Struthio camelus: one gene and its partners. The protein of the gene in region 2 binds, or shares a complex with, the protein of the main gene of each other region. Links are inferred from orthologs where the notes say so. Each region holds a gene or a part of one and is shown on either strand. Other genes may lie near its edges. The genes, in order: HDAC3, TBL1X, protein zyg-11 homolog B and CORO2A.

Region 1 (7,964 bases), on a different chromosome or scaffold from region 2:
AGGGATCCCACAGACACCAGCTCCCTTACCATGGCATTTGGTATGGGTAAGAAGCTATCAGGAACACAGTCAAAGTTAGGAGGGCAGAAATAACACAACTGCTGAACCTCTTACATCTCAAAGACCCTCAGAGCTGAACTGGCCCATGTGGATGGGGAAGAGAGGTGAGCAAAGGGAAGTGTTGGCATACATTTGTTCTTGCCCGCTGCTGAGGCAACCCACAACGCATTCAGACTAGATGCCCCTTGCAGCCATCTATGCGGTGGTGAGAGCCCTCGTTCCTATCCACAAGCGGTCAGGCGATTCATGGAAGTAACACTCAGGAGCCCAAGATTCTCTTTTATCCCCATGACTTCACCAGGTTACAGCACATCATACGTGCCATTCTTCTGTCTGTTATCCTGGCTGGAAGACAGGCCACGGCCATAATATAGTCCCAGTACGGAAAGAAAAGACCACGGGCAGTGGGAGACCTTTTGGGCCTGATCCTGCCACGCGTTGCTGGCGACACAGGATAGGAGAAGTCTCCTGACCACAGTCTAGCGAGCTGCCACAAACTACAACATCACATGAGTCTCCGCTGATCAAGATCTCAGAAGCAGTTCACGCCTTGCCTTCTTCTTCTCAGAAGAAGTTCACGCTTCTCTGAAGAGACACTGGGCCAAGGACCTTGCAGTTTGGACTTTCTCCTAAGCCCTAGGGTAATGTAGTCATGGTAAGCTTTTTTCCCATTTGTTCTCGTGCCCACGCTGTCCTTTAGAATAAATCATTCTTTCTCCTCTCTTGTGTTTCCGCCCACCCGATGTATTTCTGCATGGCAATCCTATCCCCTTTCAGCCTTCATTTTTGCCAGGCTAAACAAGCCCAGTTCACTTAACCTCCTCCTGCAAGACAAGATTTCCATTCTCCTGCTGCCTCAGCTGTCTAAGCATTTCCAAAACCAAGGAGGCACATGATGGGGAGAAGGAGGAAGGCACAGCAGCCTGTCCTGGGACATATCCTGGCTCTGCCTGGGGTGTAGGAGGTTGAACCAGGACAAGCAATGAGCTCCTTAGCTCCGTTATCTCAGTCGATTGCCTTCCTCCTCCTCCTGGGGGTCTTGAGCCGCACCGGCTGCAGCGCATTGTACTGGGCACTCGGGAATACAAATAACGAAGCAAAGACTCGGTGCCACCAGTCGCAGGATGCCCAGAGTCTGCTTTGCCTTGGATTTGTGTCCTTGCTCTCCCCTGTCCTTCCACCTACTCCTGCAACAGCCTCAGCTCCTTCCCCCCATCCTCTGTGACCCCAGTAGTTAAGACAGAGCACGAGATCAGACAGCGCTGGAGCCAACAGCAATTCAGCAACAGCTCCCGGGCAGGCAGCTGCCTGTTTGCTGCCTGCCTGCTGCACTCACCGCTGAGATCCCCCCTGCCTTTCCTCCCCAAGTCACTCACGTGGACTGTCCTGGCAGGTGCATATATAAATCCTGGAGGAACCTCAGGATCTTTGAGGCTTCTGTCCCTCTTGTGAAATTGCCCAGAAGCAATTTCAAATTTAAAATTTTAAGCCATCAGGTTTGAAAGTTACTGGGGGAGGGGGAGGGAGGGGGGGAGGGAGGGAGATGGAGAGCATGAGCCACATGCATCGTCCCCTCGGGTGACCAGCTCCCCAGAGAGACGCTGCTCCATCGCGCCATGCAACAAACCATCCCACAAGCTGCAGTCCCAATTTATCACCATATTGCTGCTTTTCTGCTCTTTTATCACGGCTTCTCTACAGTGATTATAATACACGTCATACCACAAACAATGCCAATGCACCCATTTTGTGGATCATCCGCTCTGGCCGTATTGATTGTCCACGTGGCAGTTAACAAAACAGGGCAGATTTCTAGGCTCTGAAACTCCTGTGGACAGGCTCCTTGTGGGGTCTCTACCATGATGCTCAGCATGGAAATTGCCACTATTTCTGTGCAAATTCTATGCCTAAATTGCATTTCCTAAAACATTACCCTGAATCTTAAAACCATTTAAGACTTTCTAATGTGCCCAGCAAGCTAATGGCCTTTAAAATGCAACGTATTTTTGCTATTTGCACACAAAGAGTATCTAAAAATATCCTTCTCCTATGACTTCTTTGCAGTGCTCCAATACCTGTCAAAATGCCCTGAACAGTTACTGATTTTCAGAAAGTGAATTCAGCTAGCAAAGTCTCCATGCAAGCAAAATATACTCAAGGAAGGAACGCATTTCTTACCTATTTGCTCCTTTCCCATAGCCAGGCGGGTCTGTGGCTCAGCCGAGCCGTTTACGTAGCTCTACAAACCCGTGGGGTTGTTATCTGGTCGCTGCACCTTTCTGATCTGCAAACAGCCCGTCATGCTGACTGATCAGCCATCGGTGAGACGTCAGCTGGAGTGGAAACCCAGCCGGGGAGCAGAGCGCCGCTGACTTGAATCATTTGTTGCTACATCCTTGCTGCTTAGATCTAGCCCACTAAAGTCCACATTTATTTGACTTGGGGCTACACTAGGCTCCTGGGCCCTGAAATGCACGCTGTGTCTGGTGCATGTCGGGTACCGTCTGCACGAGGCCTGCTGCCACATGCAGCCCCAAGTGGCATGGGGGAAAGAGCTACTACAAGCCAACCAATTTCCCTTCTGCATGTTTATTACCCAGGTAGAACATGCTTTTGCTGAGAAGCTGGGGAATCTCCCGGTACAAATCCGTAGTGCTCTCTATTCTGAATCTGCTCCTCTTACCATGCCCGCAGGGAGCCCCAATTTTGGGGCTGCCCATTTGCCCTGTTCCTCTCTGATACCCTACAGAAGCTGCCATGACCTATTATACTGCAGGTGTCCGTGACCATCATGTCTCAAACGCAGCATCCTTCATCTCCAACCTCTTGCCAGTGGGATCCACGAGGGCAGATTTTCCCAGCTGCACAGGAAACCTGCAGGACCGATTCCCTGCTGACCTCAACTCTTCTGCTCTCAGTGAGGTTGAACTTGACCTAGAAAAGTAGTTTCTGTTGTTGGGTTCGTGGGAGGATGTTTTGTTTGTCATGTCTGTGGTTTAGCTGCAAAAATAAAGCTGTTGCAAAATTCCTGGCTAGTCTTTCGTCTACTTTAGGTCTCCCAGGCTCTTCCTGCCCGTTGCGTTTCCCTGTGTCTTCCTTTCCAGTGGTGTTAGCCCTGGAAAAATGGGACTGCCTCATCAGAAATTTAAAATAGAGAAGCATCAGAAAGCTTTGAAGCAAAGCGAGGACTACATTGCAAGAGCCAGGCATCCCGTCTCCAGCGCAGGGCTATCGCCGCAGCGACAGCGACTGTCTGCAAACCATCAGCGCCATCTGAAGCTGCTTCTTGTGCTCCCCAGCGAGAGGCCACCCTTTTTCTTCTAATTTCTCTCTCGGGATGTTCCTCTCCGTCAGTCCTTTCCCACAGCAGCTGTGGAAAGTCGGTCCTTTCCCGCAGCCCCTGCTCCCTCTCCTCCTGCGGCCAGCTCTCTGCGGGCTCCGGGGACGTCCCCGCCACGGGAGCCGGAGGAAGGTCGCCCTTCGCCGGCCCCACAGAAGGCCAGTTTCACACTCTTGCTAATCCCTTTTCTGACCCGCTGGGAAACGCCGCACGTCGCTTTCCTCTTTTCTTCTTTCCAGTGATAACACGTTTTTTGCCACCTCCTTCACCCACCCAGGGTCTCCTGCTCCTGGGGCAGGTGTCCGTGTACCCTGCCTGTTCTCCAGGGGAGGTTTAGGGGTTTTTCCCCTTTCCTGGTCGCTGTTTTTTTTATACACTTCAATTTTCCCCGTAGCTTTTGTTCTCCGGCTGCCCTGCCTGCCTCGAGGTGCCTCCCTGTCCCCAGTCGCTGCCAACCCGGGCTGATTATTTCTGAACGCTGCCAGAGGTCAGGAGGACCCATTTCTTGCGGGCTTTTCCCGGCTGTGCCGCGCCGGGGTGGGACGTTTGAGGTTGGCTCGGCCACGTCCCCGCCACGCCGGCAGCCCCCGGCCCGCTAGCGCCCCCCGTTCGGCGCGGCGCGCGGCCCCTGGACCCCCCCAGCGAAGGGCTGAGCCCCGCCGCCGCCGGGCTGCCACCCCGAGCCCTCGCGCCCCGTCCATGGCAGGGGCGGGCGGGCAGCCCCGGCCCCCCGGGCTCCCGCTCGGGGAAAGCGCGGGCAGCCGCCGGCTGTCCTCGACGGCAGCAGGGCCGGCACCAGCGCCCCGGGCCTGCCTGCGGCCCGCCACGTCCCGCCGGCACCTCGGAGGCAGGGGGCCGAGCCCCGGGCAGCCAGGGAGCCCGGCGTGGGGTGACCGGGGGGGGTCGCTGGGGGCAGCTGGGGGGGACTGGGGAAGTTAGGGGACTGGGGGAAAGCTGGGGGGGACTGGGGGGCAGCTGAGGGGGGACTGGGGAACCTAGGGGACTGGGGGGCAGCTGAGGGGTGATTAGGGGCAGCTGGGGGGGACTGGGGAACCTAGGGGACTGGGGGGCAGCTGAGGGGTGATTAGGGGCAGCTGGGGGGGACTGGGGAACCTAGGGGACTGGGGGGCAGCTGAGGGGTGATTAGGGGCAGCTGGGGGGGACTGGGGAACCTAGGGGACTGGGGGGCAGCTGAGGGGTGATTAGGGGCAGCTGGGGGGGACTGGGGAACCTAGGGGACTGGGGGGCAGCTGGGGGGGACTGGGGAGGCCGGGGGGGCTGGGGAGCAGTTGGGGGGGACTGGCGGGCAGCTGAGGGGTGATTAGGGGCAGCTGGGGGGGACTAGGGAAGCTGGGGTAACTAGGGGGCAGCTGAGGGGGACTGGGGGCCGCCGGGGCGGGGGGGGAGCAGCGAGGGCCGCTCCCACGCAACGGGGCAGCCGGGGCTCAGGGGCACGACCGCGGCTGCGCACACCGGGCCCCGCCCCCAAGGCCCGGCAGGGCTCGGCGAGCCCCGCCCTCCCCTCAGGCCCCGCCCCGGCGCGGCGGCTCCCGCGCGCGGCGGCGGTGGGCGGGCTCGGGCCGCGACCGGTCGCGGCGCGATGACGTCGGCGCGCGCGTGCGCCCGCGCGCGGCGGTCCCGGCCTCTCCGCCATGGCGAAGACTGTGGCCTATTTCTACGACCCGGACGTGGGCAACTTCCACTACGGTGAGGGCAGGGCGGGGCGCGGGGCCGGGCCGGGGGCGGCGGTGGGCCCTGAGGAGCGGGCAGGGACCCGGCGGGAGGGGCCGGGGCTGCTCGGGGCCGGTGCCCCCCCCCCCCCGCCCCCGGTCCCGGTCCCGGCTCGGGGGCCAGCGCCCCCCCTTCCCGGTCAGCCGCCGGTACGGCGCTCCCGCCGGGCACAGCCTGGTCAGCGGGTCGGCACAACACCCCCACACCCCCCCGCACACGCACATTCTGGTCCAACGGCCGGTACAACGCCCCTGGTCAGGGGCCGGTGCGACACCCCCCCCATCCCACTCAGGGGACTGGTACAACCCCCCCCCCCCACACACACATCCCGGTCAGGGGACTGGTACAACCCCCCCCACACACACACACATCCCGGTCAGGGGACTGGTACAACCCCCCCCACACACACACACATCCCGGTCAGGGGACTGGTACAACCCCCCCCCCACACACACACATCCCGGTCAGGGGACTGGTACAACCCCCCCCACACACACACACTATCCCGGTCAGGGGACTGGTAAAACTCCCCCCCCCCCACACACACACATCCCGGTCAGGGGACTGGTAAAACTCCCCCCCCCCACACACACACACACACATCCCGGTCAGGGGACTGGTAAAACTCCCCCCCCCCACACACACACACACATCCCGGTCAGGGGACTGGTACAACCCCCCCCCCCCACACACACACACACATCCCGGTCAGGGGACTGGTACAACCCCCCCACACACACACATCCCGGTCAGGGGACTGGTACAACCCCCCCACACACACACATCCCACTCAGGGGACTGGTACAACCCCCCCACACACACACACATCCCAGTCAGGGGACTGGTACAACCCCCCCCCACACACACACATCCCAGTCAGGGGACTGGTACAACCCCCCCCCACACACACATCCCACTCAGGGGACTGGTACAACCCCTCCCCCACACACACACATCCTGGTCAGGGGACTGGTACAACCCCCCCACACACACACACATCCCACTCAGGGGACTGGTACAACCCCCCCCCCACACACACACATCCCACTCAGGGGACTGGTACAACCCCCCCCACACACACACACATCCCGGTCAGGGGACTGGTACAGCCCCCCCCCCCCACACACATCCCACTCAGGGGACTGGTACAACCCCCCCCCACACACACACATCCCACTCAGGGGACTGGTACAACCCCCCCCCACACACACACATCCCGGTCAGGGTACTGGTAAAACTACCCCCCCAACACACATCCCCGTCAGGGGACTGGTACAACCCCTCCCCCCACACACACACACACACATCCCAGTCAGGGGACTGGTACAGCTTCTCTGTCCCTTTAGATTCCCCCTTGGAGAGCCTTTATCCTCCTGCCACCCTGATCCTAGCTCGGGGGGCTGGTGCAACCCTCCTTCTCCCCATTCTGAGGGCTAGTACACTCCTCATCCCTGCTTGGGGGTCAGAACTACCCCTCTATCAGTCAGAGGGCCGGTGCATCTCTCCCTTCCCCATCCCTGGCTTAGAGGGTCTTAGGGTCCCCTCCCTCTCCTAAATCTTGTCTTGGAGGATCAGTTCTCCCCATGTTTCTCCCCATCCCAGCCTAGCATGCCAGTATACCCCCAGCCTGGGGGGCTGGTATACCCCCCACACTGATTCATGCTCAGGGAGCTGGTGCCCTTCCTTCTCCCCCACCAGGCCCAGCATAGAGGGATGGCTCACGGGCCTTAGTCCCTCCACCCCCTGGCAGAAAAGTGGCTCAAGGGGTGCAGGTCTGTGACTCCTCACGTTGTTTCCCTTCCAGGAGCAGGGCACCCCATGAAGCCGCATCGCCTGGCACTGACCCACAGCCTAGTCCTGCACTACGGGCTCTACAAGAAGATGATCGTAAGCATCGCTTCTCCGGGGGCAGCAAGGCTCTGGCAGGGCATGTGGGACCCTCATCCCTACCCCTGCAGAAACACGGCTGTGGGAGGCAGCTGTGGCCAAACAGCCGTTGGAGGGAGCTATTTACCCCTGGGCAGACAGGAAACGTGTTAGAGATCCATGCTCTATCCTAATTTTCAAGGCTCACTTTTGCCACTAACTCCAAATAGTAGCCTCTATTTTAAGGTTTGGGCTATGTTAGTAAGTTCTCCAGGGCTTTCTCATGTTGCTGCTTCTTGTTCAGCTCCCGTTTGTGGCACAGCAGGTAACAGAGTTGTTACAGGCAGGGCTCCAAGCGGTCTTGGCCATTTTCACTAACATGAGGTCATCATTAGCTGTTGGCACCTTGTTAAAGCTTGTGCTTACAGTACCATACCTGGAGCTAAAGCTGTGACGGTGAGAAACGAGTGAAACGTCAGTGTCCATAGCTGCTTCTAGGAAGGACCCAGAGACCATTGTGGGATTACATGTTATCATAGAGAAGTAAAGCTGAAAAGAAAACCCAAGGGGTTAGCTAGTTCATCTTGATGCTATAAGGCAGGATTCACTAATCCTATCTCATCCCTGCTAAATGTTTGTCCAGCCTGGTCTTCAAAGTCTTTATTGCCCAACCAGCTCACACAATCTAGTTCAGTGCTTTGCTCTCATTACGATTAGAAAGATTTTATTTTCCTGAAGTCTAACTTGTGTAAACCTGATAAAATGTGACTAGCAGGTAGTGATTACCAAAAAGCAAACTTAATTCTTCTTATCTTTCAAGAAAGGAACTAATTTGAGTATAGCAGAATATGGCTACAAATCTGTGGTACCCCTAATTTGAAATATGTTACTTCACTTGGGACAGGCGGAATTGAACCAGGCCCCTTTCGCTAGAATCTTTGTTCATTTTGTTGTCCATTCCCATAGC
Region 2 (7,073 bases):
GGAACACCTCTTACGCTAATCCATTTATCAGGCTGACAGACGACTGAATCACTGGTACTATGGACCCATTCTACCAATATTTCGCAAGTCAAACTTTGGGCTCGTTACTTATCCAGTATATTTTTGCAAAGGAAAATCTACATTATTTAGAGCGGGGAGAAGAAGAAACAAACACCACATTCATCTCTTCCCAGTACTGAACAATGTTCTTTGTTTGATTAGCCCACGAAGTGTAATGCTGGAGCTATCAGGCAGAAAATGCGTATGAGATGTACCTACTAGGGAACTGTATGATGCCAAAAACAACAAGGAAATGTGCAAACACTGGAAAAATTATTGAAAGAGTTCCAGGCAACCAAAAATTTTGGAAAGTTTGCACCAATTGCTAGTTTTAGGGGTATCCCTTCTGCAGATGGTCTGACTTAGCTCTCAAGCAGAAATTTCTGCATACTATTAATTTCCTGTATATCCTTATGAATGATAGATGACAAAAGAAATTTTAAAAAAGGTTTGGGCTATATGGAGATGGGCATCAGTTGAACAGCGCACTGCCACAGAACTATGCATTCTGCAAGCTGCTAAAGAATTCTCATGAAGCTACAAATAAATGTTCAAAATTTTATTTCTCCGGCAGAAGTTTCCAGTGGTGTAATGTAAGCTATTCTTTCATTTTCTCCCTGTGGCTTTTGTTTTCAGATAAATTCCAATAAACAGACCTCTGCAGGGGCTGAAGTCATTGGGACTGCAGGTGTCTTCCCAAATGCGTCCCACTGCTGAAATGAAGACACTGTAAAAATACTAAATTCTCATAAAATGCTATTACTCTTTTAAATAATGAAAAAAAATCTCTAGGATGTCATACACTTAAGTTTCTTCTATCCCAAGGTAAGGGACAGGAAATAATATGCGATAAAACTGGTAACGGCCTGTAACATACAGAGAGATATAGAAAAGGGGTTTTGAAAAGGTGCTCTCCTCTTAGGCCCATTTCACTGCAATCAATAATCCATATTCTGGCTTAGAATCATCAGGAACAGCTGCAGTATTAACACTGTTTTATTTGGTTATTTCCCCTGGATGTTGCAATACAATAAGAAATAACTTACTGTAGTATTTTTATAGGAGTCTAAGCAATCTACTTGTTTTAAAGCTGATGGTTATCACTCATGAATTCTCTTAAAAACAATACTACAAGGTAAAGTTAACCCATGCTCTATTTTTTTTTTCATTTATTTGTACAAGAAAAAGCTTTTTAAAAGAAAAAGCTCATAAAAGAAAATTTCCAGTACAACAGGGAGAGCGGGAAAGAAGTCTGTCTGTGTTTTGGATTTTGTTGCACTCACCAAGGGAGAACATGGATTCTAAATTCAGAGCTAAGCACTAGGATAAGCACACAAAAACTAGAAAGAAATTTTACATAAGTCCAGTTACCGTCAGCTGAATTCCTCAGGAAATGCTAACCTGCTAAGAACATGCAAAAAAACACCACTTCACTCTGAAACAACTAAAACATGGTAAAAAGTTCAGGTTTACATATCTTCCCATTCTGTCTTGTTCTATCCATCTACACACTCTCTCATCTTTTAACCTGAAAAGATGGATATCAGTACAAATTCAGTTCCAAAGAGTGACTACTTAAATATCTAACAATGGAGCTCATGACTGAAACACAGTTATTCAGGGATCAAAACCAAACTGATTTAGCTGTAAATTAAGAAGCAGAAAGATGAGAGACAGCTAGCGTTTCCCAGAATCATAGGCTGACCAGCAATCTGAGAAGGGGGTGAATGAATAGCAGCTACTTGGACATTACCAGACTTGATTTCTGAAAATACAAGCACAGGTGTTTCCACTGTCTGGCAAAATACCTAACAGGTTATTAAAAGCTAAGCTGTTGGAGAGCCGGAGAGTTCTTCATGTGAACCCAGGAGCAGCAATCTCAATTTCACGTGCACTCTCCTCCCACTCCTTCCCTCCGTCTTCAAACTGGAAAACTAATTCCAGGGACAGTGACTTTTGCATTAGCCAGCCAACTTCTCTATCATTCAAAGCTAGCCGCTTTCTTCTGAGCTTCATTTCTTCCAGTTAGTATATTTTACAAAAGAAGAGAACTGAGCAAGGTCTGCCCCAAACCATATGAACCCCCAAACTAGTCAGTCATACGTTCACATGAAACACAGTATTTCACACTCCTGTTTCCAAAGACTCCTTAAAAAGGCAGTGGTATTAAACAGCCTAAACAACAGATGTAACCTAAAAAACATTTTGAAGTATAAAGTGCTGGAAAACCTTCTTCGGGTCATTTTTAATAAAACAGAACCTGGTCATCAACTTAGTAAGGGAGATACTGTGTTTGCCAGGCAGGGAATGGGACACTACCTTCATTTAGATGCTTTAAGAAGAAGCTTGCAATATTGTCAAGGAAGTCGAATTTCCTGGTCGCTACTTCTAATTTGAAATGATTCTTTATTTCTTGAGGTAAATACAATCTCTTTAAAGTACCTCCAAAATTATTACATAAACAGGCTCTTCCTTTTATTTTAAGCCAGGGACAAATATACAGCAGCTTTATAGTTAAAGACTTGCACTAAATTCTTTTTTTTTCTTAACAGAGGCTGAAAAAAATGCTTGAGGAGAAAAAAGGAATCATCTAAGAATAAAACTTGTAACTGAAGTCATACTGCAAATATACGGTAGTTACTGTACACTCGGAGGGACATGGCAGGCTAAAAAGTTACATACTATAAAAACGTAGAGGGCATTTATAAGTGCCAATAAATGCCTCTTCCAGAAAGTATGTCAGAAACAACCCAATACACTGATCTGCCAACCGAATGTTCCTATGTAATGTCTATTTGAAAACTTACCTTTCATTGTCAGTAACTATCTTCAGCATTAGTAGATGCTGAATATTTGTGCAAGAAGATTTTTGTGCCCTCTTCGTTCCTGGGGTTTTTCATGACCTGACTGGACATGGCCCTGAGGAGCTGAGTCAGACCCCAGAGTTGGCCCTGCTTTGGACAGAAGGGTGGATTAGAGGTCTTCCGAGGTCCCTTCCTCACTAAATTATCCTACAATCTTACAGTGTTAATCTCTCTGTATTAGAACTATATGTGTCTGCTGTACTGCTTACATAGCAAATAAGGCGCTTAATAAGAAAAGGAATAGCACAAGCTTGCATATTGAATTCCGACAGATCTTAAAAATACCAAACAGGAGATGCTCTTTCTGATCATACAGAGTTCATGCTGCTTAAGCAGCTATAACAAAGCTTAAGATTTATGACTGAAGACACAGGAACCTTCTGTTATACTACAAATTAGCTTTCAATTTTACCTTTTTAGCTTTTTCAGAGCTATAGTAGTAAGAACTATTTATATTAAATGAGATGATTCTTACTACCTCTTAAACTATGTGATTTATAACCCTTCCCTCAATTAAAATGCATGGTATACACTAACAGGTTACACTGTGTAGCTATCAAAAATTCACCTGAGAACACTGGTTAGACAAGTACACTAAATTAAGTAAAAAGTTTATCTGCAGTAAATAGGGCTGTGAAAAACCTGAGCATTTTGAAATACGCAGACAAAAAAAACCCCATATATCACACAGACTTTGTGGTAAAGAGAACTGGTCTGGCAGCTTCTTGGTCCAGAGAACCCAATCCTTCGAGTTGGCTAGCAACTTAAATATTTCAGTGTATTTGAACACTTCGTTCACATTGAACATAACGTAAGAGTCTGCAGTACAAGTGAAATTCCAGAAAAAAACAGAATACTTTCAAAATTAGCACCTGCGTGGTACAGTAAATAACTTCTCTAGGTTTCAGTCCAGCTGATTTGTTAATCTGATTAATCTGATGGTTGATATGAGCTGTCTCATATCTTGTTACTAGATATGCCTAATAGGAGTAAACAGGGATACATACCTCTGCACTGACACCACGCTCACCACTCTTGACTAGTATACATGAGAACACTTTATTTGCATAGTGAGATTGAGATAAATCCTTTTAATGAATTTGACTAAAGTATTATCTGTTAATATATGTGACGTTCTTTGTATTAATGCAATTCTGATACCACAAACAGTACGACCTAGCCATCTTTGTTTTAATTTTCTCATGTATTTTAAGAGATGGAAAAAGAGATGAAATAAAATAAGAGATACTCAGGCTAATAAAGCTCATATATTTTTAATGACTCTCCAGTTTGTACTTTAGTGAAAGGACACACATAAAGAATAGTCAGGATCCTAGTACTAGCAGTAACTAGTTACCTAAATGATTTAGCCAATACATTTTTTATAATCCGTCTCATGCTATGTTCAGACATAGTTAAGTTTGTAAAGTATGTTCTAGAATCATAATGATAACTGTACACTAACTTTATATAATAAATTCTTCTAGCTCTGTTCAGCAAGTATTATGTCTGTTTTTTCAAATATGAAAGTAAGAAATTGAAGTATGTTTGAAAGCCATATAGATCAGGACAATAATCTGAATTACAACGCAGACTGCTTAAAGTCTTATCTACACGTACTGTGCTAACATAACATTGCACCTTCATGTAAATTTTAGAGCAGTCAGCTTTCAAGACTGCTTTTGTGCAGTCAGTATGTGATATTACTTTTAGTTAGTACTAAAATGTTATTTTTCCCAGGATCTGAGAAGTGTGACTACTGTCGCATTCAAAACAAAATGGAAGCAGCTATGTCAGTCTTTTAATCTTGGGAACTGAACTCTCTTTCTACAAATTGAGAAGAATATGAAAAGCGAGAACAACTATTTACACAGAAAGATACCTATGTTTACTGTGCTGTTTTAAGTGAAACAGAACCTTTCTATTTCATGATGGAACATGCCAAGGATATTCACACCACTTAACTTTGATTCCAGTTTAAGTATATGTATATGGATGCTGATGCCTAAAGCTGGGTTTTATGAATATTCAGTCTTCATTATAAATGAGTGGTTCCGTTCTAGTACGTTAACAGAAGAAGGACCTGATAGCAAAACATTCAATGGAGTAAAAAAAGAATTACACCGATGATATGAGCAACAAAAAAGGATCATTAAGAGCCCGTTTGCTTCTCAGTTTACAGATTTTGTTTGGCTTTGCAATTCAGTGTTTTAGTGAGGTGCAACATGTTACAGCCACTTTTTGTTCTAGTCTTTGAAATTATTTAGGAAAATAATGTTTTAGTACAGCTTTACTTCTCAACTTACAAGGCAGCAAAGACGACCAAACGTTTGACTTCTCCATTCTGCTGAGCTACGTGAACAATTCTCAACTGAGTGACACGAAGCATGGGCTGAGAGGCTGAGAGATTCTGCTTAGAAATTTCGGGGGACAGGCATCAAAAGTTAAATTTTATTATCAAGGTAGCAATAAGCCTAGCAGCTAAATTCCCCTGCAGTTTTTATCCTCTGTAGTTTGCAATTTCTGGCTGCAGTCATGCTACTTGTTCTGACTGCATCTTCACTGGTGTAAACTTATTCCCCTGCTTCTCGTAATCACTCTTCCCTTAACGTTGCTGCCGAACATCGCTGCCCCTCAGTATCTGTGGAATAACTGCTTGGATCAGAATGGTTCTGATTAAAAGAGTTCAGAGAGTTGGTGTTAAAAAGGGTTTAAACGAACCTAGATTACAGTGAATAACTCAGGTCAGGGAGTGCCTACGTGATCGATTAAATCTCAGGGGTGCAGTAAGGAACGGTGGGGGACGATAGCCTGTTCAGCCAATTCAGCTGCCGCCAGAACAGCATGTGGGAAACACGCAGAGAGACCTGTCCTCCTTCTCAGGTTTCCTTTCTTCCTCCCCCCGCCATGCCTAACACCCAGCATCCCTGAGTCCCTGATGCACACTTCCAAGCTTCCTCAAAACACTTAGCTGCCTACTAGTACCAGGGCTTAAACTCTTATAAAAGTCAAAGCACATCGATATTGTAGCTATATACATATGTGAAAAAAAACCCTCAGTAAACCAGCAACGAGTTTGAAATACAGTCATCTTGGTGTCCTCAGCTCACCTTGTTACTGCACCTCCAGTTATTGCAGCACATACGGCATGTAACATCTCCCACTGTTTGGAGACTCCCCCTAAAGGTGAGCCATATGTTTTGCAATACCTAGACACAGCAGGGGAAGAGAAGGAAATCTCTGCAGCCTTAAGGCAGAATTGCTTTGATTTCACTGCTTTGTGTCCTGTCTTTATTTTTCTTTTAATGAAAGATTTAGCATTTTAATTTATATCGTCTAAGCCTACAGAAAAAAAATACACATGCTGGGGTGTCTGGGGGGGTGGGGTGGTGTGTGTAATACCTAGGAAATCTCTTGTGTTATCTGTCTGTATAACATTACCTTCCACTAGACAAATATATTTTTAAACAGTCTGGAATCAAAACAACATTCTCAGCATTCAAGACGATCTGTCATCACTGCCCATTTGTTGCCCTCTAGGTTTCTCTCAGCTGGCAAATTTCCCATTTAAGGAATTATCAGATTCATCGCTTAGACACAGCAGCAAAATAAAATGAAAGGCTGGATTATTCTGGAGAACTCGTATTTTTCATTCAGTGTATAAAATTCAGTGCATGAAAACTGAACATAAGAGCAAATGGAAACAATCTCTCTCTGACTTCACATTTCTCCCTCACTACACTCTCTGCAAAATCTAATTCTGACGAAGATGCCGCAACATTTATATTACGTGTAGTCTTTATTTCTTTAAAAATGTTTAATGCCACATATTATGTTAACCTGTTCTGGAGACCTGAACGCTATGTTCACAGGCAATGTTTCTTGTTCTGCTGCAGCTCTAATAACGCTTCTGCTTCTGTATATTGCTGATTCTACTCTATTTTACATAAAGATTGACTAATTCCTATGTTGCCATTTCCTCACATCCTATTTTTTCACAGAGAAATAGCAAGAGAAGAGAAAGAAAATATATTAAAATGAATAAATTGCAAGTTTTCCATACCAAGAAGATTCAGGATTTACTTGGCTGATGGAGTAGCTTGAATGTCAGAAGCTGTGCCGCAAAGCCATGCTTGCCTAGGCCCCCCG
Region 3 (7,703 bases), on a different chromosome or scaffold from region 2:
AAAAAAAAGTTTATTAAGGGATTAAATGAAACAGTACCTGTAATAACAAGGGAATTAAACCAGACAACCCAGGAAGCGCCTGCCAGTGCTTTACAAGCAAACCTGCACGCTCATCTCCCACGCAGGGCAGTGGGCAGAGCAGCACCCATACGCCCTGCTCCGAGGCCTGGCTTTAACGTGCAGAAACGGCTGTTTTTACCCGCCGGCTGCTGCAGCAGGGCAGCCAGGCCCGTGGCCCAGCCGGTGGCGCCGACGGCTCGGCTCTCCCCGCACCCAGGGGCTGAAGGGCGCCGGGGGGGGGGGGGGGGAGAGGGAAGGGCTGAGGGGCGCGAAGCCCCCGCTCGCTGTGGAGATTTCGCGCCGCGCTACGCCCCCCGCCCGCCCCTTGTGCGTGTATAAGCGGCGGCCGCAGCCGTCGCGCAGCGCGGAGGGCGGCCGAGTCCGCGCGCGCCCCCCTCAACGGTTGGCAGCGGCGAGGTGGGGGGGGGGGGGAAGAAGGGGAAGGCGCGCGCGCGCCCCGGCCTCGCCTCGCGCCGGCCTCACCTGCCCCCCCGCCTCTCCCTTCCCCCGCAACGCCCCGCGCCCCACAGCGCCGCCGCCCTCGCCCCCGCCGCGGATCGCCTCAGCTCCCCCCCGCCGCCGCCTCCCTCCGCCCGCACTCACCATGGCGGCGCGGCGTGTGCCGGACGCGAACGCCCAGCGAGCCGGCTCCCGGCGCGGGGCTCCTTTTTTTTTTTTTTTTTTTTTTTTTTCCCCTCCCACCCCCCGTTTTGCCTACCCCCCCCCCCGCCGCCGTCGGCCGCCGCCGCCCCGACCTGGAAGTGAATGTGGCTGAGCCGGCCGGGAAGCGGCGCTGAGCCCGCCTCCCTTAAAGGGCGCCGGCGTCAGGCGAGGGCGCGTCGGCTCCTGCCGCCAGGTGTGAGGCGGGAGCGGCGGCCTCCTGCGCTCAGCCCCTGTCAGCGCTTTTTCCTCGACGTCGTGTTGCCTCCGTGGCCGAGCAAGGACGAAAGGGAAAAATGAGATTTGCCGGTGAGTTTGCCCCTTGAGCAAATGCTCTTCCGTCCGCTGAGGAGTTAAGCACTTACATAGCAGCCCTTATCTGTGGGGAAGCCTCTCTCACCGTCAGGAGTCTGATGTCATCCTCACGGGTCGGCCTGCATATCTAAACTGGTTTCCTGCACAAACTCGTTTCTTACAGTAAAGTGAATAACACCATAGGTTTTGCTTCCTGCAAGTAGGAGAGCAGCTTTGCCATGAACTTCAATACCAAATAATTTCAGGCCTCACTTGCAGAAGTACATGAAGAGAAATACAGTTATTTTTGTGTCAGGATACAAACTAAAGAGTGATACCGTTACCCTGTCCAGGCAAAACGAAATTACGAAGATGTTATGGTTTAAACCTTTTATGGAGTTGCTGTTGTCATGTACAGCAGCTCTGAACAGCATTTGTTTGCAAACCAACACATAAATAATCATTAAGGAAAAGATACTAATTTATGTTTTTATCATTAGATTATGACAACACGTTCTACAAACAAAAATATTCTACAAACGCAATTTTACCTGTTCAATGACTTCTTGACAGCAGTCAGTTGTAGTCCCATTGTTTAGATTGGGGTTTAGATTGGGATGTCGAGGCAGAGAAAATAAACAACGTCCTTGGGATCAGACAAGAACAGAATCAAAAGTCCCCACGTTTCTGAATTTAACTGCTTAAAAAACTAGCCTGGTTAGAAGAAATGACTTATATAATTATGGCAACATAAATGATCTTAGATAAGTAAAGAAAGAGGTAGTATTCTTATTCTTAGTGCATTGTCTGTTTCTCCCACTTGCTAATGTCTTTCAGAGCTTCTAGTCTCTTTTCTTCTACACTTAATTGCAAATTCACTCCCTCCCTCCAACCCGAGTATCCCCACATACCCTTGTCCTTACTTTATTTCTCTCATTCTGTCTGCATTTATGATAGGAAATACCTTCCTTTCTCCTATCTGGGCTCAAACAGTGAAAGCTTTGAAGACACAGGCTAATTTCCTACTCAGTGCTAGTGCTTGGCCTCCCCACGGTACTCGAGAAGTGCAGTAGCAAGGGAAGCTTGCTGTGCTGCTGCAGTCCTAGGATAGAGTTTGCTCTGTCGAGTTGGTCCTGCCACAACAGCGGCATCAGAAACGGCAAAGACGAAATCCCAGCAAGAACAATCTCTTTGGAGATTTGTACTAGCAAACTCAAGAGTTTCTACTGCGCCTATGCAAATGGTCATCTTCCAAAGCCCTTCTGCAGAGCAGAAGAGGACTTGACAAGAAAGTTCTCAGGTGTCAGTCAGCATGGGCCAAACAATATATATTCTCTTATTTGCATTCTCACAGACATGTTAGTGCTTTCGCTTGATACATTTTGAAAGAAGATTTTCGTTATTTGTGGCCAGTGTGTGATAACTTCAACCCAAATACTGAAAAGTTTGGAAAGTTTTAAGCAAATAATGTAGCAATAATTTTAACAGCTGGTGTATTTGGACTTTGGTAATATGTCCAGCAGGTGGTGCCATCGGCCCGACCTACAGTAGTCCTGGCAGTTCGCTCTGGTTGTTAATGGACAATCTGTTTTTTTTTCCTATGGAGCCTATGCACAAGATTTAGCTGAGTTCTGTATATTCCCAAAACTTGACAACTCTGTGTTATATTACTGAAATCATTTGGGACAAAATATTGTCAAGTATTCTTTAAAATTAATTTTAACTCTAGGCCGTTCGTCATGTCCATTTCTAATGTGCTGCTACAGTCAGAAAGTTCAGTTTGTGCTCAAAAATGCTGGAATTGGAAAGTGTGCCATACTTTGTGTAAGTATCCTAATATCACATCTTGCTTGAGCTGTAAATTCAGCCATACCTAGAGAACTACAATTTGTTATGTTTTGTCAATTGCTTACCGATCTCTGGGCGTTCTCGATATCCCTGGCACTCAGACATACTAGGAGGGAGGATTCCCATCAAAAGCATCTGTCAGAATTTTTGCTGAAGGAAGAAAAAGGAAGAATTGCTGATCTAAAATTGAGCTGACCGTTATTTAGCTGTTAATCCAAGACAAAAAAGCATGCGGGCACCGAGTTGTGGAATGGGTAATAAAGCCCTAGCTTCCAGGTCATGCAAAGTATATTGATGTATACGCCACAGAAAAGTCTTAACTTATGGCTTTAAATATCGTAAACGAAACCTCAGAAATATGAATCCTAATGGCACAAAACCCAGCAAGTAAAATCCGCCGAATGCGTTACTGCCGAAAATGCGTAGGCATCCCCCCGCCGCAGGCGGGGAGGGCTGATCCGCGCGGTGCCCCGCTCGGGGCTCCTCCGGGCGGCCTGGCATCGATGTCTCGGCGCTCGCGCGGCGGCCCGGCCAGCATGGCGGGGCTCGTCAACTTCGAGGACGAGGAGGAGGTGCGCGGCTACCTGGAGAACCTGCACGTCGAGTACAGCTACCAGTGCTACCGCGAGAAGGACCCGGACGGTAAGCGGTCCCCGCCGGCCCCCTCCCCCGCCCCGGGGCCCGCCGGCCGGTGTCCGGCGCGTCCCCTCACTGCTGCCTTGCAGGCTGCCAGCGCCTCGCCGACTACCTGGACGCCGTGCGGAAGGACTTCGTGGCGGCGGCGCGGGTGCTGCGCGACAACTGCGAGGCGCACGGGCACAGCGAGAGCTGCTACAAGCTCGGGGCCTACCAGGCCATTGGGAAAGGTGAGCCAGGCCGTGGGGGGGGAGGGGAGGAAAGCCTTTTTTTCCCCGCCCTCCTGCGAGACCCGGCAGAAGGCCCTTTGTTACCGTTCAGGCCTCCGGTTGCCTCGGAAACCCTCGTGCTTGGTGCCGTCACACTCCTGCCTGAGCAGCTGGTGGCATGGTCGTGTTGCACAGTGGTGAATGTGTGGCAGGTTCTGCTTTTTACCTGCAGCATAGAGGGTACCAGTCTGTGGTGGCCCTGCCAGGAGTGTGAACTCCCCTGCTGTAAGGGCCACGGGAGCAGAGAGAGGGTGCCTGAATACCTGTGGCGAAATGTAGCTCTTATTTTTCAGGAGGTGCTGAGTACCTGCATTTCCTTCTGACCTTGAAAAAGAAAATAGGTGTCCTTCCTCTTTTATGGCCGCACGATTAAAGCGAGAGAAGGGTGGAAAACTTTTTTGTTCTGTAGTTTTCAGACTTTTTCAGTCGATCAAGGGTCATTGGCACTTCCCTGCAATATATATTTATAAGTTCATGCTCAAAGTTGCAGCCTCGGATCAGTCCTAATAGGTTTCTGTGACTTGGAAGACTGAGGAGAAAGTAAAAGTCTTGGCTGTTGTAATGGAACTGTAGCAACTCCTAGAGAGGTCTGCAGCATGCATTTGTATTTCTGCAGCTCGGGTTAGATTTAGGAGTGTTTATTGTCCCAAGTTATCTGCATCTTCTAGACTGTGACAATGCAAGGAGTAGAAATGTATGTTTTCTAGCTTAGAAAATGTTAAGCTATTTAAGATACTCCTTTTACTACCCAACTAAATGTATTAGATATAGTGTAAAAAAAAAAATCTTATTTTGAGCCCCGTTTACCTAAAGTACTTTCCTCTGAAGAACCAATTATAAGTTACGTTTAATTACTGAAACTATAAAAAACCTGAACTATAAACAAATAAATGTATAAGTGGTAGGTTTATTCAGTGCTGAGTGTGTCCTGTTTTTAAAACTTGGATTTCTTCCTGTCTGGTTTTTTTTTTTTTTTCCTTACAGAAAATAAGGAAGAAATAAACTTACAGACGGATGTCACTGTTTGCAGATACACAAATGTGTAGGCCCCAAGTCTGCCAAAGAAGTATCTGCTGGTGCAGTGATTTGAAGCAATTACATTAGTGAATCTCCTTGCAAATAACAAAGCAAGTGAGGAACGTGATGTTGTTACTGTAGTTTTAAAAAATAGTAACAGTTTCAGTGTACATATGATTATTCTGGCAAAAAATACTTAGTCTAGTGTAAGTTACTTAGGTTAGAGGTCTATGTAAATAGTGGAAAGAGGTTTGTTTGTTTTTTTTTTTGCCTACATGACTACTGTGTAGTGGAACAGGGTTCCCTAATTTGAGGGCATTAGCAAACCTATCGTAATTGAGACAACAGTTGTGTCTCTGAAGTCCTAAACGTAGACTGTAGCATCTCATAACGAGGAATGTTGTGAGCATTGGGAGACATGGTGCAAAGCAGAAAGTTTCATGGTTATGCAGCATGTGCTTACTGTAATCTTTTGGTTTCTTGGCTGACAGGTGGACTCGCGCCAGATTTGAAAGCTGCCTACAACTCCTTTATGAAGTCATGTGAGAAAGGTGGGAAGAGGTCAATAAAGGCCTGTCATAACGTTGGGCTGTTGGCCCATGATGGGCGAGTAAATGATGATAAACCTGACCCGGTTGTTGCTAGAGACTATTACACGAAAGCCTGTGATGGCAATTTTGCTCCTAGCTGCTTCAACCTCAGTGTAATATACCTCCAAGGAGCACCTGGCGTTCCTAGGGACATGAACCATGCTTTGCAGTATTCTCTGAAAGCATGTGAGCTGGGTCATGTGTGGGCTTGTGCCAATGCCAGTCGAATGTACAAAATGGGAGATGGCGTTGAGAAGAATGATACCAAAGCAGAAGCTTTGAAAAACAGGGCAAAACAGTTGCATAAAGAACAGAAAGAAGCATCGAGTTCTTTAACGTTTGGGGAGTAAAACTGTCAGTTGCAGTTCTTAAGACTGCAGTTTTACTTGTCAAGTGAACTTGTTGTTTAAATCACATGGGCATACAGTTTTTACTCTGAGTAAATATTCTGTAAGTTTTTGCATATACAAATAAACATATGTTTTGTGGACGCAACAAACATGGTCAACTCTGCTGTGCCTTTATCCATTTTTAAATACATATGTTTTTAGGTGCATTGCTTAGATTCCCCCCCCCCTTTAAGGAGGGCAAAAACTTCTGGTCTTTTGGAAGTTTGTCCCTGTGGTTTCAAGCGTGGAGGGCTCTCCCTTGTGCGTAACACTTCGATATCAAGGCTTGTGCTAGGTCAAGTTCTAACACAAAAAATTGTAGTTGCGAGATAATTCAAACATTCAAAACTGTACCCACAATCTTTCAAGCACCTGTGGAACTTTGATAATGTGCACACGTGGACAGTCTGCTCTAAGGCTACTTGGTACTAGGATGGTTTGAGAAACGAGTTGATTCTCTCACTGAAGGTAACGTTTGTTGTCCTGAAATGATATAAAGACTTGCTGACTTACGTGCTCTGTCATCAAACTCTCAAAACAACACATATAAAGAAGGAGAAAAAAGAAATACCTTGTTCTGTGGAGAAGTACTAATTTGATATCCTACTGAGGTTTTAAACTGTATGTTTAATGTCATAATTTCGTCAGAATTTCATCTGAGAAGCTTTAATTTCTTGAATCAGTCTAAGTTTTATAGGCTGTTAGTGTTAATTCTTTTAATTTTACAAATTGTTATTATTTGATTGTAAACTAACATTGTGGAATTGAATTATTGGATATACTTTGATTCCTAAATAATTCAGCATGTGAATGGAGTCAAATCAATAATCTTTTGTCCAAGAATAACTTTAGTAGTAAAACTTTTGATTCAGGAAAAGGGCCAGCTGTGAAAGCTACTGCTCGGGTTTTTTTGTTTTGTTTTTTTGTTGTTTGTTGAATACGAAGAAACTACATTGGAACACTTCTTCAGCATACAAGTAAAAGCTGTTTTCTGTAGAAGAGTATGGTTTTCAGAGGGAGTTGTACTAAGCTGCTGTCTTAAAAGGAGCTCTAGCCTATGAAATTGATATTTGTTGGGCAACAACCTGTGAACGTTGGAGCTGTGTCAGTCAATATGAGCTGCATCCTTGTGCGTTCATTTTTTTTGAAATATCTGCCTATGCAGACCCACTCTGTATGCGTGCCTGTCTGTCACGGGCCGGGAACACTGATTTGCCCAGGGGATTTCAGTGCAAACCCGGAAAGTCTCCTTTCTGCTTACTTTCATGCTTTGCTGTCATACTCGGTCTGATTAATGGTTTTTTGGTTCCATCTGCCACTTCATATATTCATTTACATTTCTAAACCTTGTGATATGAATCTCCTACAACACTGACCTTAGGGTAAAAAGCATCACGCAGTTGTTTGGTGTGATCTTTTATGTACAAATTAAAAATAGTATTCCTCAGTCTGAAAAAACAAAAGCTGTGGTAACTGACGGTGAAAATACCATCTTTTATTCTAAGAGTTCACCTACAACAGAGTTGGCATACAGCTGATGTGGGATGTGGCACTCCTATCTGAGCATTGGATTCTGTGCTCAGTGGCTGGGTTTGTGATAGATGCTCTGAAGAACTGTTAGCAGCTGGTAGTAATGTGGGTTTGCCAGTCAGCAGTGAAGGTTACCCTTGAAGGAGCAGAGGGAGGTACTGAATACTGGTTTGTGCTACAATCTTGCTATGGAAAAGAAAGTCAGTTTACTTGGCAAGTTAGCCAAATGCGTGTATTTGTGTGCTTCTCAGTGTGCCTAGCATTTCAGCTTGCACACAGCCTAGCAACAGCTGAAACTAAAGAATAATTTCTAATTAATTTTTATCACATCTTTTTGGAGGAACAATTAATTCAATAGTTTAGTTTATTTTCTGCTACCTTCTGTTTAGAAAAGCTGACAATATGCTAGA
Region 4 (7,539 bases), on a different chromosome or scaffold from region 2:
GGGGGAAGGACAGAGCTGAAGTGCTGATTGACCAGGCATTGACCACGATGGGGTGGACAACCCCCTGCAGCAGGAGCTGTCCCACAAACTGAGCTTTTCCTCACTCACTGCCAACCTGCTGCCTCCATGGCGGACTTATTAAGGCCTTATTTATCACCTTGCTTCAGGGAGATGCCAGCCTCTGAGCCAAAGCTATCTGCCTGATTCTCTGGTGTTAAGAGCTCTCTGCAGAACGTTAGCTCTGTTTTGCCCAGGGAAATTTCAGGTGCAAAAAGGCAAATGGCTTTCTAGGGTACACCAGTGCCATAGTGGCAGCGCTGAGGCAATTTAACCCCCTCCACCCCCTCTCAGTTCAGTGAGAGGCTGTGGGCTGCACTTAGAAACAAAAGCGTGAGAATACCCTCACGCACTTTCTGCTCAGGCTTAGCAGCTTGTCAAAGAGGAAAACAGCACACCACATTAGCAAGTGGAAGACAAAAGTACTAACTGTAGCAAGCACATTTGGGATGAGGGGTCCCCTATCCCGCTGCAGCCAGATGTTCACTTTGGACGCACAGTCCAGCACCAGTGATAAAAAGTCCTGATTTCTTGCTCTTATTAACCAATGGCTTCCTGCCAGGTGCAAAGGTTGGCACTGAGATTCCAGCTGGTGGATCAATATCTGCTCTGGTTGTAAGTTTAATTTTTGTAATACAAACCTCTTTGCCACATTCTGGTGCCAAGCTGGCAGGAAGCTTGGAGACTTCAGGCAAAGTACAAGTTGACATAGCCACACAGAGGACTCCCAGTACATTTCAAAGTCCCTTCAGAAAAAGTAATACAGGCTCAACATCAGAGTCCCCTACTTAAAGTTATGCCTTAATTTTTCTTTTTAAAGTGATTCTGTTAGCACAAAAGTACTGTAACATTTTGCAGGGAGGAAAAATTACAAAAGGAAATTAAAACCAGCTGTCATTTTTTGCTTTAGCTTCCAATAATTTAATATTTTCAACATGATGGAAACCCTTGCACATGAAGGGGGAATGCCAATGCCATAAACTCTGGAAAGACTTCCAGTTTTGACCCTGTTATCGCAACAGTGTTTTAAATGTCTCTAAAGCTGGCCAGCATTGAGAGGGCCCAGCTTCTGCCCTACCTCTTACCACCTGCCACTGCACACATTACACAGTCAGCAATCTTGAAATCTGAAGGGCTGGAAATAACTATGGCAAAACTAAGGACATTCTCATTAAATGTGACAGTAATTGGGTATAACTAAATAGAGGCTTCCTCCAAGTGGCAGTCTAATCTGACCCCAGCCAGCCTTTGGGAGGTATACGTATACCACTACTACAAGTGACCCAAGAAGGGCTCCATCCAAACCAACCACAGCCAGGCACGTCAGGCCCCTTCTCCTCAGCAGGCTGGGATCATGCACTGTATGATGCTTGCTGCAGCAGCTTCTCTTCAGGGCAGATGTACTGGGCCATGTGCTAGCATAGCACAGCCTTAAGAGTATGCCTGCTTGATGATACTTCCTCTGCAAACTGGCTATGGCCACAGGGCCTGGCATCCTAGGGTTATGGGAGGCATCACCACGCAGAAAGCAGTTTCTCTTCTGTCTCTTTTCATCTGCTTCTGCAACTGAGCCCTACAAGGCAGGACCCTGCTCCATGGGAACTGCACCCAGCTACGTATGGGGTGCAGCCATATGGATAACACGCACATGACTACGCTGAGGTAGCTCCTGCAATGCAGAGCAGCCACAATGGTTTCCAGCTCTCTTCTTTGTGGCTGCTTGCAGCAGGCTGTACTGCTATGTGTCATTTCTAGCTATCAGTGGACCTACAATGGTGAACAACATGCTGTTGTCAAGCTCCCTTTCATACGAGCTCTTCTGGCTGTTGTGGTGTTCTTTCACCTGTCATTAATTTTGGACAATCTGTGGGTAGAAGCCTAACGATCACATTACCCTGCTTTTAGCCTGATTTCTGATGCTTAGGGATATGAGGCAAGAGAGAGCTCCAGGGCACATTGCTCCAACTTTTGCTTTTGGATTGCAACAGAAAGAGCAAACAACAGCATTTTCTTTGGGGCTGCTGGAGGCTATCTTTAGAGAGCACAACAAGTGCTGTGTGAGGGTGCTCTGTGGATGGGGCTAGTCATGCTGCCAAATCAGGTTAGGAGAGTTGTGCTGGGGAACAGTGCCGCAGGGTCACCCTGGAGGGTTTCTTGTTCCAAGCCTGCTCTGTGGACACAGGCTGCCACCAGCAGTTGCTCAGCCAGGCCCTTGCTGTTGGATCGCCAGCCGAGCAGTCCCAGGAAAGGAAAGCCAAAGGGTAGGATTCATCCCAGTTGTCAAGGACACCCCAGTACAGACACCAAGAGTCCCAGTCATCCAAACTTAAAGAAAGCAAAGCAGAACGGGCAGCAGTTCACTTTGTTCCAGGGCCAACATCTACAAAAGGTCTGAGGAACAGCACTCATGCATCACCTATTTCTCTGTAATTACTCCTCTAGAAAATCCTAAAGACTAGCAGAGCTAGAGATAACTACAGCAGACAGGGCTGCAGTCTGGAGGGAGGTGTCCCACCCAGAACCCCAAGCAAAGACATCTTTGTCCTCCTGTCAGCCCTGGGGAGCAATCTTCTCCAGCCACATCCAGGTGTGAGGCCACAGTGTTCTGAATGGAAGCACTGGCGGTGATGTGCATCTCTGCACCTGCTATTTCTCCTGTGTTGAAGACACGAGCACATACTGGTGAGGGTGCAAAGGAGTTTCAGATGCCTTCCCATTGCCTGTATGCAGGGCAAGCCGAATACAGCTCCTACACAAGCACCATGGCTTGGTGTCAGCAGCTGGCTTGTTTCCTGTGCTCCATTCATGGGCAGTGCTTCTCAGCAGCAGTTTCTCTGCGTGACTGCCTCAGTCTCCTGGATTGTCCCAGCCTGGAAGCTGGCAGCAAGCACGGAGATCACTCTTGGGCATCGATGGTTAATTCTGAAATTCTGCTCAGCTCCCTCAAAGGATTAGGTGGGATTGCTCTTCCTCCCGTAAAGGACTTCAGCTGCCCCAAGGCACTGGTGGGCTCCTGTCTTGCCACGGCAGAATCAGTGTAGATGCACCTGAACTGCAGCATCTCATCTGTGGTGGACACCCAGTCTCGCAGTGTTGTCATGCCCCGTCTCAGCCTGGAGCTGCCACGGCCAACCTGTGATTAGGGGCACTAAGATGTGGAGAAAAGCCAGCTGTTTCTGAGGCTCTATTCAGACAGGACCTGAGATGTTAGTTGGGTGGGTAACCTGGCTAAACAAGTCTCATTGCCCTTTTGACTGATCTTGGGCTTTGCCACCTACTTGCCGTGTTCCTCATCCAGGGTACTAGGGGGGCTTCTAGTGTGCCAAGAAACCAACTCACCCCAGAGAGAGTGTGAATTTTGCAAGCACAGGAAGGTCTCTGGAGCCATTGGGCATATATGAAGCTTTAGGCTCACATGAGCCAGCAGATCTCCACCTGCCAGGGACGGCAGAGCAAGGCAGCAGCTGCTAGCTAAGGCTGGCACACTCATAAAGGTCACACAGGTGCGGGCAGCATTCAAGGAGCAGTACACAGCAGAGCGCGGTGTGCCTAAGATACAGAAACATGCTGGCATAGCCGTATGAACTACGGCAGGGTCTTGGGGCAGCGCACTAGGCAGATGATGGCAAAGTCTTGACACTGTCGGGATGATCTCCTAGGAAGATATACCCAACTCCTCCAGTAGGACCTACCTGTTGCGGTCGCAGTGTTAGGGGGCTGTGGGCACCTACCCCAGAGCGAGCTGGGTCAGAGATGCCTAGGGAAAGGAGACGTTTTGCTCCAGTTACATGAGGACTCCCCCTAAAAAGCAGGAAAGTGAACACCCCGCTTTCCATGACAGAGAACGGCCCCGTACGCATGGTCGGCAGCAGCACTCCCCTGACAGACCTGCTTCAGGGAGCGGTTATGCTGGAAGGGACCTCTGGAGGTCTCCAGCACATTCTCCTGCTCGCAGCAAGACGAGCCTCAAAGCGCCACCCGATGTTTCCCGAATCGCCGTGCATTTTTAGCCGTCGGAAACCGAGCCGGCAGCTCCTTTGGGCTCGTCGGCAGGAGGGCGGCGACCGGGAACCTCACCACCGCCGGCGGGGACCTCTCCCCCGCCGCCGCCGCCCTGGTGGGTGCCGGTGCCGGGGTCCGTGTCCGCGTGTCCGCGCGTCCGCGCGTCCGCGCAGCGGGATCCTCGCATGGATAACCTGCGGGGGTGGAGTGGGGGGGGTGGGGGCGTGTCGCGACTATCGCGACTGTCGGGGCGCGGCTGGGCGGGGCGGGGCGGAGCCGGCTCGGCTCGGCTCGGCTCGGCTCGGCTCCCTTGTGCACGCCCTGAGCGCCGCCGGCCGGGCGCGCCGACCCGCCGCCGAGGTAGGAGACCTCGGTCCCGGGTGGGAGAGGAGGGGGGACCGGCCCCGCTGCCTCCGTCCGCGACACGCGTGGGGCGGGGGACAACACGCGCGGGTGGGTGGGTGGGTGGAGGAGAGGAGGGGGCGCTTTGCGCCGGGGGTGGTGTAGCTCGGGCACCTGCCGCAGCCGGTGTGGCGGGGAGGAGGTCACCCGTGGGGGTGGCAGTGGTTGCGGGTGGCGTTAGCCGTGGCCATGCCCCGCTGCCCGCTGAGCAGCGGCCGTGCCCTCCCTGCGCCTTCCCCGCCTGGCGCCGTCGGGAGGGAAAAGCTCGCCCCACGCCGCCCCGGGCACCCCGGCCCACGGCCCAGCTGAACTGCCTTTTCTCTGCAAGCAGTCCAGTCCGACATCCCGGACAGAGCAGCAGGGATGTTTGGGCCGTGGAGGCACCTCTCCAGGGGATGATGGCAGGCAGACCGCCTCTCCCACCGTCCTGGAAAGGCCCCGTTTGCCTGGTACCTGGACCGTCTGCTGGGTGGGCGAGTAGGACGCGTGATGCTCCGCAGGGCCCCACCCTGCTTTGTGCAGCCAGGGTAAGGTTTTGCACAGAGATGGAGGTCCCTGCGCCCCCCTTGCCTTCCCACCAAGCCCAGAAAGCAGACTTTCTGCTTTCCCCAGAGGAGGGGAGGATGTGTTAACCCTTCCACGATTTTTGAATCTGCAGCTGTCAGGGAAACACTGTTCTGGAAGCTTAAGAGCTCCAGCTACAGAGATGTGCGATAGTGCTGGTGGGAGCGATGTGGGAGGGAAGCATCCTGTGCTCTGCTCCCTAAGTCGTGCGGGCATCTATAGGTGCTTTCCCCATTGTGGCAGGACATAGCTGATGGTTGGAGTACTATATGTTTCCCCTGGGCAGGAATTTCACTTTCCAGCTACGTCATGGTACAGAGTTTTTACTGTAGGTAACTGCAGGGTGATCTTTTATGCGGAGTGTTACAGACTGAAAAAGCCAACCCTTGGCTGGAGCTCACTGGCTTCTGGGGCATCTGCTTAGAGTTGTTTTCAACTCAGAGGTGCATAGCAGATGCACAGAGCAACATGGGTTCATGCTGGCTCGAGACAGATTGGAGTCAGCAGGATGCTGCCTCTCTGGAAAGCCGGTACTTCCTCCTGTCAGCCCTGCTTGCTGGTTCAACAAGTGGCACAGTTTTAACGTCTGTGTAACTTTGCTTATGATATAGAGAGAAACATAATGTATGTGTGGAGGGGGATGAGGGAATGATTACATTTGGCCCCCTTGTGCCGCAGGCGTGGGGATTTTGGCTGCTTGATGCCAAGGCAGGTCGCATCTTGCACAGAGCATGGTGACAGCCACCTAAGGGACATCTGGGCCGTGTTCTCTGGCCGAGGGGTACCCTGGTTGCAAGGCAAGCCCTTGAAAGGATTTGACCTTCAGCAGCACAGCTTTGGCGTATTGCTTCTTCCTGTGCACCTGGCTTTGACCCTGCGTCTCCAGGGCTAGGCAGGTCGTTGCGAGGGGATGTGCGATGATTACGGTGCTTTATAAACAAGTCCCTGATAGCCTGGGAAAGCCAGCCATATGCAGAGCCTTGCTCTGTGTTGTTGTTCACCCGGCAGGGAGTGGTGCCCTCCCTGTCTTGCTCTGGAGTAGGGACAAACAGCCCTGCAGCATCCCAGTCGTTCCCAGTCCTCCTCTCACTAGCGGTTCCTAACGAAGCACCGTGCTTGCTGCAACCCCTCTAAAATTTGCCTAAACAGGCTTAATCTCTTCTGGCCTCCTGGGTGCTCAAGGGAAATGAACTCTGTGGAGAAATTGCAGAACACAGGAGAGAAGTTGGATGTTGGCTGTCTTTTAAACTTCAAAATGCAGGCTGCCTGGTGGGTTAACAAAGGAGCAGCCGGTATATCCCTGTTCCTTTTGTTCTCCCACTCGCTGTGCCCTCTGGTCCTTCATGGTTTGATCAGAGATAGGGGATAACTGAAGGAGACGGGCAGGGAGTTCCTGTTTGGATGTTAGCATCTCAGGAAACTCTAGAGCAATGCTTCAAGAGGCAGGGTGGGGGGCTGCTGATTGCTTCTTAGAGACTGGGGAAAAAACAAGTATTTTAATCTGCACTGGAGTTGTCTTTGTGGAATTAGCATTATTGCAGGCAAGCTGTATCTCCATCAATGCAAATTATTTAAAGTTCATTTGCTCTATTAGGCCATAGCAACAAATCCAACCCCCTCACCTGTGAAGAGCTGCCTTAGCCCAGGGAAGCTCGAGAGCCAGGCGCTAACGATGTCTGGATGCAGAGCCAGGCAGTTCTTCCGTCCAGCCCTGGCTCTGCCTTCGGCTTCTCCTAACCTCCCTTCCTTAGAGGTGAAGCAATTCGGCATGAGCGTGCTGGTCTTGTGCGTGCAGGAAGCTTTTGCCGGGGGAGAGGGGAGGCACAGCCCTCTGCGCGGCCGGCTGCGTCAGGCTGCCTCGCAAATCAGCCGGGACTTTCCTCGCTTTAGACCTGTGGATCAGACTGATTGCTGGTTATGTATGTAGCAGGTTGGGATTTCCTGTTGCCAGTTCAGTAACGTGATGTCAGGGTACCTGGAGATGTGCTGGGTTTCTCGCTGTCTGTGCCAGTGGGTAATTTCTGCCTGTCTCTCGAATGTGTTTATCTGTGCCCTGTGACCAGATTTTTGGGAGCACATTTCAATAAGTGGATGATTTTTTCAACCTTTCTGCGTTTGTTAAGTTTTTTAGTATCTGGACAATGAGTGCATTTTGGGCTGCCTGCCTCTGTGATCTGCTTCCTGAGGTTTTCTAGTGAGTCTGTTTCTGGGTGGGTTGGCACTGGCCAGGCTGCTGGTTTCTGGAGCTGGTTTGTGGTGCCTGTGCGAGCGGCACATTGAACTTGTCTGTAGGATATCCGAGGTGCCGGATGCCTGGATGCTGTGCATATTTCTTCGTTGTCTGAGCATTGGGGGAGTACATTTACTATGGAGCAGGTCTATGTGCTGTGAGCGAGAGGTACCCAGGCAGCCTGGAGGTTTTAGTGAGAGACTTGAAGGCTTTGGGTAAATCTCCAGAAGCTTTGCAGGGAGGTGCAACTGGCTTAGGGGGAAACTAACATAGATTTTGTGCTC

What was found.
Region 1: TBL1X (region 2) and HDAC3 share a complex: the UniProt entries of both Homo sapiens proteins name them as parts of the N-Cor repressor complex. The link is inferred for Struthio camelus from reciprocal best matches to the Homo sapiens genes TBL1X and HDAC3.
Region 3: TBL1X (region 2) and protein zyg-11 homolog B share a complex: the UniProt entries of both Homo sapiens proteins name them as parts of the E3 ubiquitin ligase complex. The link is inferred for Struthio camelus from reciprocal best matches to the Homo sapiens genes TBL1X and ZYG11B.
Region 4: TBL1X (region 2) and CORO2A share a complex: the UniProt entries of both Homo sapiens proteins name them as parts of the N-Cor repressor complex. The link is inferred for Struthio camelus from reciprocal best matches to the Homo sapiens genes TBL1X and CORO2A.

Annotation. Positions count from the first base shown.
Region 1 is NC_090954.1:22,011,181-22,019,144, forward strand, and holds the start of HDAC3 (histone deacetylase 3), read left to right. Parts: upstream 1-4,958; 5' UTR 4,959-5,052; coding exon 5,053-5,107; intron 5,108-6,935; coding exon 6,936-7,018; intron 7,019-7,964. UniProt on the Homo sapiens protein: Histone deacetylase that catalyzes the deacetylation of lysine residues on the N-terminal part of the core histones (H2A, H2B, H3 and H4), and some other non-histone substrates.
Region 2 is NC_090942.1:142,899,347-142,906,419, forward strand, and holds the start of TBL1X (F-box-like/WD repeat-containing protein TBL1X), read right to left. Parts: upstream 3,006-7,073; 5' UTR 2,875-3,005; coding exon 2,868-2,874; intron 1-2,867. UniProt on the Homo sapiens protein: F-box-like protein involved in the recruitment of the ubiquitin/19S proteasome complex to nuclear receptor-regulated transcription units. Plays an essential role in transcription activation mediated by nuclear receptors.
Region 3 is NC_090949.1:31,701,103-31,708,805, reverse strand, and holds the start of protein zyg-11 homolog B, read right to left. Parts: upstream 3,016-7,703; 5' UTR 2,998-3,015; coding exon 2,928-2,997; intron 1,661-2,927; coding exon 1,566-1,660; intron 1,104-1,565; exon of another isoform or gene 667-1,103; coding exon of another isoform or gene 664-666; intron 370-663; exon of another isoform or gene 38-369; intron 1-37. Other genes in the region: COA7 (cytochrome c oxidase assembly factor 7), read left to right, coding at 3,231-3,504, 3,588-3,728, 5,276-5,724. UniProt on the Homo sapiens protein: Serves as substrate adapter subunit in the E3 ubiquitin ligase complex ZYG11B-CUL2-Elongin BC. Acts to target substrates bearing N-terminal degrons for proteasomal degradation with the first four residues of substrates being the key recognition elements.
Region 4 is NC_090982.1:10,448,242-10,455,780, forward strand, and holds the start of CORO2A (coronin-2A), read left to right. Parts: upstream 1-4,533; 5' UTR 4,534-4,856; coding exon 4,857-4,988; intron 4,989-7,539.